Xenopus tropicalis: one gene and its partner. Each later gene encodes a partner of the first gene's protein in a complex. Links are inferred from orthologs where the notes say so. Each region holds a gene or a part of one and is shown in the gene's direction. Other genes may lie near its edges.

Evidence for each region. The genes of interacting proteins can lie anywhere in the genome.
Region 2: the proteins of nelfe (region 1) and ncbp2 are in contact, whole or in part, in a crystal structure (PDB 5OOB), measured with the Homo sapiens proteins. The link is inferred for Xenopus tropicalis from reciprocal best matches to the Homo sapiens genes NELFE and NCBP2. Residues at the interface, in NP_002895.3 of Homo sapiens: Lys361, Arg362, Gln364, Ile365, Val366, Tyr367, Asp369, Tyr372; in NP_031388.2 of Homo sapiens: Phe49, Tyr50, Thr51, Thr52, Glu53, Gln55, Lys68, Ile69, Ile70, Met71, Leu73, Lys77, Lys78, Thr79, Ala80, Asp107, Glu121, Gln124.

Annotation. Positions count from the first base shown.
Region 1 is NC_030684.2:74,059,989-74,063,742, reverse strand, and holds the start of nelfe (negative elongation factor E), read left to right. Parts: upstream 1-1,128; 5' UTR 1,129-1,164; intron 1,165-2,424; 5' UTR 2,425-2,447; coding exon 2,448-2,522; intron 2,523-3,754. UniProt on the Homo sapiens protein: Essential component of the NELF complex, a complex that negatively regulates the elongation of transcription by RNA polymerase II.
Region 2 is NC_030681.2:106,058,384-106,062,046, reverse strand, and holds the start of ncbp2 (nuclear cap-binding protein subunit 2), read left to right. Parts: upstream 1-759; 5' UTR 760-793; coding exon 794-862; intron 863-2,091; coding exon 2,092-2,273; intron 2,274-3,663. Other genes in the region: protein NCBP2AS2, read right to left, coding at 64-390. UniProt on the Homo sapiens protein: Component of the cap-binding complex (CBC), which binds co-transcriptionally to the 5' cap of pre-mRNAs and is involved in various processes such as pre-mRNA splicing, translation regulation, nonsense-mediated mRNA decay, RNA-mediated gene silencing (RNAi) by microRNAs (miRNAs) and mRNA export.

The DNA of each region.
Region 1 (3,754 bases):
CCTAATTACTACTGTCTCTAAATTATATTGCCTTATTTAAAGAGTATTAAGTCCAACCTCAAACAGTATGGCAACCCCTTTTTCATGTATCCTGACCCATAAAATAAGAACCCCTGACTTTAACAATAGTGTAATTAACATGATATAAAAGTGATTGGCTCTGCTGAGGCACTTTCCAAATACTTCATGAGAACCACACAATTGAAAGGTCATAAATTAAAGGAGATGTACAACTGAAGTCTATGAAAAATTCTCTACCTAGGCAACATAGCAATTCCCACTAAATGAACAGAAAGTGCATTCTTAAAGTGCACCACAAATAAATATTATGAAAGTTAGTATAAATAACTTTTTTTTAATATCTGACAGTGCCACAGTAGGTGTCGAACTGGCCCCCAGGGATTCCAGTAAAACTCCTGGTGGGCCCAAAAAAAGAATAGATTATAGTACATAAAGATAAAAAAACACTAGGAAAATATAGAGGGTGAGAGAGAAGTGGGTGAAAAATAGTTTGAAGGTTTTTTTCTGGGCCCCTGGCATCCCACTCTGACACTGGCCACAATGGTTTTTTAGTTTCCCTTTAATGACCAGATTTGGTGTGTACCCGTTTATACACACGTGTGTGTGTGTGTGTGTGTATGTATGTATGTGTGTGTGTATGTATGTATGTATATATATATATACACACATACACACACACACACACTTTTTTCCCCTAAGTCAGGGCAGAATGGCAATCACATCCTCTGCCATTACCCTAATAGATGAAAATAAGAAAATTCGGCACGTTATATTTACAGCAAACAGAATAGTTGAGCTCTGCAATAGAAGGGCCACTCTGCAGAACCCGATGAGTGCCAAGCTGGCAGCTGTGCGGGGCACGCATATTCTAAAACGTAAACCACACTCGCTACAGATCCCTCACAAACCACGCCTATCCTCCTCCACTTCCATTCATTAGCTTGACACTTCACTCACAATTTCTCAAATTTGACTCTCCTACCCCACCTGTACTATATGGAGCACTGTCCTGTCCAGCACCTGTCACGTGACCGTAACGTCATGGCGAGTCTTGTTCCTGTCTCGGATATTACTGAGGGGCCGGGACTAGTGTTTCCATTTTTTTATGTGACGTAAAAAGAACGCGACCGACTTTACAGAGAGGTAAATAAACAGGTTGTTGTGTGTTTTTCGTTTCAAACATAGTAGAAATGTGTCTAATGAGTATTTTTTCAGTTCGAACCTGTTGGTATTTGGGAGCTTTGGAAACGTGAATGTTGAACAATGTAGGGCCAAGCCTTCCAAATGCGCACCGATCGGGGACTTCGTATTGCATTTGCCATTGCAACAAATTGGCGGGTCTGGTAGGGCTTCACGTTCTTGCAGTTGTCAGTCGGAACAACAAGGATAATGGAAGTTGTGTTACCTGAATATGGCATCTCCTGCCATGAAGTATGGGGAGGGGGGGGGGGCTACCTAATGTTGGCCAGACTTTTAAATGTTTTGTCATATATTAAGTGATTGTACCATTTTATGTCATTCCTACTGCATTTATCCGTCTGAAGAAAATATTCGTGCTAAAAAGATTTTATAGTTTTGTTGTGTCCATTAAAAGATAGAAATTGCCTGACAGCTGTGTTGCAGTAACTGCAAGCTGCTTTTTAATACCTCCCACCATGCAACCTACTTTCATCTCTCAGTCTCAACCATGGAGAGATTTTATCTATTCCCAACCAAGATCTTCTTTCCCATCTGATTGATTAGTAGGACAGTGTTGCTCGGATAGCCTCCTGGCTGGTAAAAAATGATGTTTGAAGCCAATGTTATTAATAAGAAAAAAAAGATAACAATATGGCAAGGCCAGAATGCTTTTTTTTCCCAGAGATGGTGGCAACCCTAGATTTTGCTGATTATTAAAGTGTATGATTGTTTCTAGTTACTGGATCATCCTAAAATCACTCACTACTTGTTTTTAAATTTTTCTGTGTGACTAGCTTAGGTTGGTAAAGGAAACATCACTTGTTATGCATAACACTTATTGTGAAGGTAAATTCAACTTTTGTTACAGTGTTGTATGTACAATAGACAGGCCTTTTACCTTAACACTTAATAAGTGTGTGTGGATATTTAGTACTAATTGTTCAATATTAATAATATTAAAAAAATAAATAAATATATATATATATATATATATATATATATATATATATATATATATATATATATAGTTTTAAACCTTGTTCAGCAATATGGATGTCATTGAATTATTATCTACATAGATGTGTCAGGCCACTGGAGAGATGTGGGTTGAATATGCTTGTGACAAGTAATGTATTTCATCATTGTTATATTAAGCTGAGATTTGGACATAAACTATGTTGTATATTATATGTAACATCTGTTTGTATCAATATTTATCTACAGAAGTACCCCTCTGTGCAAGCATCATGGTCCTGCTACCAACCAGCCTTACAGAAGAAGAGGAGGCTTTGCAGAGGAAGTTTGCAAAGCTGAAAAAGAAGGTAAAGACTCTATGGGGCACATTTACTAATCCACGAACGGCCGAAAAGCGTCCGAGTGCGTTTTTTTTGTAATGATCGGTATTTTGCGTTTTTTTCGTCGCCGTCCCAACTTTTTTGTGAATTGTCGCAAATTTTTCAAGCGCTCAATACGAAAAAGTAGAGGCAATTCACGAAAGTCGTAACGGCTACGAAAAAGTTGCGACAATTCGCGAAAGTCGTAACGGCTACGAAGAAGTCGCGACAATTCACGAAAAAGTCGTGATGGCGGCGAAAAAATCGCAAAAGATACGAAAAAGCCGCAAAATGTTCGTTTCCAATCCGATTTTTTCTCATTCGGGATTTGGATTCGTGGATTAGTAAATCAGCCCCTAACTGTTTAAAATAATAAGTTGTTGCACTACAGCAGGTCATTGTGTATGTGACCTTGCATTGTTGGATTAATAGTATTGTGTATAGTACTGTATGTATTGGTTAAATTACATTTAATGTTTAGGAAGACAAATTACATGATAAAAACACATATAAACACATAACTGCAAATTGTCTTAAAATACTAGTATCCTATTTTCATCATACCTGAAGTTAGTTTTCATGAGAACATCTCCTTTAAATAGAGGTTTGGAGGGCTAGGTCCATGTATATTAATGTATTTTGTGTAATAGTGGTGTGAAAAACTATTTGCCCCCTTCCTGATTTCTTATTCTTTTGCATGTTTGTCACACTTAAATGTTTCTGCTCATCAAAAACCGTTAACTATTAGTCAAAGATAACATAATTGAACACAAAATGCAGTTTTTAAATGAAGGTTTACATTATTAAGGGAGAAAAAAAAACTCCAAATCTACATGGCCCTGTGTGAAAAAGTGATTGCCCCCCTTGTTAAAAAATAACAACTGTGGTTTATCACACCTGAGTTAAATTTCTGTAGTCACCCCCAGGCCTGATTACTGCCACACCTGTTTCAATCAAGAAATCACTAAAATAGGAGCTACCTGACACAGAGAAGTAGGCCAAAAGCACCTCAAAAGCTAGACATCATGCCAAGATCCAAAGAAATTGAGGAACAAATGAGAACAAAAGTAGTTGAGATCTATCAGTCTGGTAAAGGTTATAAAGCCATTTCTAAAGCTTTGGGACTCCAGCGAACCACAGTGAGAGCCATTATCCACAAATGGCAAAAACATGGAACAGTGGTGAACCTTCCCAGGAGTGGCCGGCCGACCAAAATTACC
Region 2 (3,663 bases), on another chromosome or scaffold:
CAGGGCAAGGTAACCAGCTGCCTCCGTGTGTAAGTGGGCAGTGTGTGCGGCTACAGTTTATCATTATTTCCCTTCTCCCCTTTTGATCTGTTTCTTGGCATCCTGCAGCCCAGTCCGGAACTCCCTGAGGAAAGTGTCCTTAATGCGCTCCGCCTTGCGGCCCATCTCCCACATGTCCCGGGGGGGCCCAGCCCTGCTCGTCTCCTGTCGGATCTGTCGCACAGTGTCGGAGCGCAGGATTCTCTGGGCCGCGTCCTTGCCGCTCAGCTGAGCCTTGGTGACAGCGAAGGCAGTGATTTGCGCTGCTCTCCGTATGGGCCGGGACTCGGAGAGTTTCTCTATCAGTTGGGGGTTATTGAGCAGAGTAAAGAGCAGTCTCCTCAGAACCATTGTGCTAATTCAGTTTCGCTCTCACAAACACCAATGTCGCTTAATTCACTATTGAGCCATACTGCCGCTCTGTAAGATCCGCCACCTACGGCAAAACGTACAAATGCTAAACTGGGCAGAGGTGCAAATGAATTATATCGCTGCGCCCCACCATGTATAAAAAGCAGTCCCGGCTATCGGCTACACTCGCTCCATACTCACTCACTGCTCGATAGACTGCACTTGTGCGCCGCTCTCCGCCAATCCCAATTCTCACGGTCACCTGCCTGACCTCACTATAGTTTCCGGTTCACCCGGATACAATATTACACTGCTGCTCTGTGATTGGTCCTTGTGCGGCTTAATGGGCGCCACTTGGAGAAGATTAGTGAGGAGACTGTAGCTTCTGTAAGGAAGAACCGACATGGCTCTGGGTGCCCTAAAGAGCGACTCGTACGTGGAGCTGAGTCAGTATCGGGACCAGCACTTCCGGGTGAGCTGCCGGCGGCACCTACCTGTTTGGGTTGGGCGGGCTGTGCCTGTTAGTAGTGCTGTAGGCAGTGGGGGCACGCATTCTGCTCAGAACCAGCCTCCTTTGTCTCACTGGCCGGGATACGAGCTACAGTACCAGCGGGATCTGTGTGTTGTTCTGTTGCTTCATTCTCCCCTACTGCAATAATCCCTACTTGAGAACTCTATTGCCGGTTTCTAATCCTGTATCATGTAACACTGGGGGCTCACACTCAGTTCTGGACTGGGATTCAAAATAGGCCCTGGCATTTTAAGTTCAAAGAGACCCAAACAGCCCTCACCAGCCCCTCTGGTATTTGCCAGAACCCACAGATTGCCAGTCCGGCCTGTTCATAATAACTCATTATGGGCATCTCTCATATACCCTATGAGCTCCTGCTTTCCCATGCTGGTGTGTGCTTCTCTCTTAAGGTCCCCATACACGGGCCGATAGAAGCTGCCGATATTGGTCCCTTGGACCGACTTGGCAGCTTATCTGCCCGTGTAGGGGCAGAAACGAGGGGCCTGGCCGACCGATATCTGGCCTGAAATTGACCAGATATCGATCGGCCAGGTTAGAAAATCCAGTCGGATTGGGGGCCGCATCGGCTCGTTGATGTGGCCCCCGAACCGACTGCCCCATGGCCGCAACTGTAATCCGATCGTTTGGCCCCAGGGCAAAACAATCGGATTATTTTTTTTTAAAGCTACTTGCTACCCGATATCGCCCACCTGTAGGTGGGGATATCGGGTGAAGATCCGCTCGCTTGGCGACATCGCCAAGCGAGCGGATCTTATAGTGTATGGGCACCTTTTAGTTTCTGTCATCTAATTGGGTATGTGTCACACACTTCCAGAGGAACCAGAAGGTAGTTTGTCTGAACGTATTAATGTACTTACCTGCTTTGAGGTATCTGCAATAGCATTGGCTTGAATGACCTGCCAGCATGGAGTGACTTGATGTGGCAGTCAGGCTTAAACTGACATTATTGCATTATAGAAGTTAACCCAGGTTAAGCAGGCAATTATTACAAAACAATCTGTGTTGATAAATGCATTGAATAATTAATTGTATGAGAACTAGATGATTTTAATGATTGTGGCAGGGCTGCCTCTAAAGACTGTGAAAGTTTATTTTTTTTTAATAAGAAAATAAGGATGCAGTTTGTCTTCCAAATAATCACTAATTATGTTGATTTGTTTATATTACAGGGAAACCGGTCTGATCAGGAGTGTCTGCTAAAGCACAGTTGCACCTTGTATGTAGGAAACCTGTCATTTTATACAACAGAGGAACAAATCCATGAACTGTTCAGCAAGAGCGGCGATGTTAAAAAAATTGTTATGGGGCTCGATAAGATTAAGAAAACAGCCTGTGGATTCTGTTTTGTAGAGTATCCTTTTTATATATTTTTTTTTTTCAATCCTTTTTTTTTTTTTTTTTGCCCACTTTTGAGGAGGACCGGGTATATATAAATGTAGCCCACCCCTAGGTGTGGCTTGGATACTAGCAATACGACTATGTTGATACCCCAAAGATTTCCCACTGTATACCAACACAAGTAAAAAGTAAACCTGTATTTATTATACAAGACGGGGCGGAAATAAATTGGTAGTTAATGCAGAAAATAGAAACAGAAGGCAATAACAAAATGTAGTGAAATGCAATATAAATCGTTTAAATTCACACAGGAATTTAAATTTTACAAGGTAAATAGACACCTAATATGTGATGTATGGGTGTTTGGGAGCTCCCCTTTAGTCCTAAAAGCCAGCAATGTTGGGGCCCTTAACTTCCAGGATGTCTAAGCTATGTTTTATAGCTTTAAATGCAGATCTCACTTCCAAATTCTCATTATTAAACTAGTGTCTTCGATGGGCTGGATTGCAGTCTGTGTCTGGGAAATCGCTGTTCACTCTTTTAGCACACACACCCCTTGGACTTTAATGGTAATCTCCAGCAGATCCCCACAGTAATTTCCCTTAAATGCACTTCCTTCCAGTCCCCACCAGTTATTTTTTACACTTTTCTTTCTGTAGAACAGGGCTGTCTAACTGGCAGCCAGTGCCCCCCCTCCCTTTGTAAGAATGTTATCAGTACTGAGATTAACTGGCTCACTGCATCATTCACACCTCATGTTCAGGCTGTAATCCCCCTGTATTGTTTAAACATTTAGTCCCCTATACTGTTTACCCCTTTTAGGGTTTGCATTGTTTACCCCTGCATTGTTCACACTCAAACTGTAAATGCACACATTGTTCACCTGTTCACACCTCAGTATGAGCATTGTGTCACTGTATGTGTCTGGGTGTGCCATACTCTGCCTGTGTGTGCCATACTCTGCCTGCCATATGGGAGGTGAACCTGGCAGGGGCTTGTTCTGGGAGTTTGTTAGCAGTTGGAAATAGTCATTATATGGTCCCTAAGGTGTGTAATTATGTGCTGGGGTTTGCTGTGCTATCTACAGGGGAGTAGAAGCCATATAGATTTAAGGGTATGTCTTGATATAATATAATTCTTTCACATATGAATGAAGTGTGATATACCTACACCAACCATTTGGGTTTTTGCTGTGCTACCACCATTAATGTGGGCATGGTCTTAAAAGCTCTTGTGATAACATGGGTGTGGTTTGAAGTGGGTTCAGTTTAAAAAAGGGGAGTGGTCAAAACTTGGCTTCTAATATCGACCCTGTACCATGTAGGCCAGAAAAATTCCGGCCCTCGGTACAATAGAAGTTGGACAGCACTGCTGTAGAAGATCTCCTTTTTTACTGCTTCATC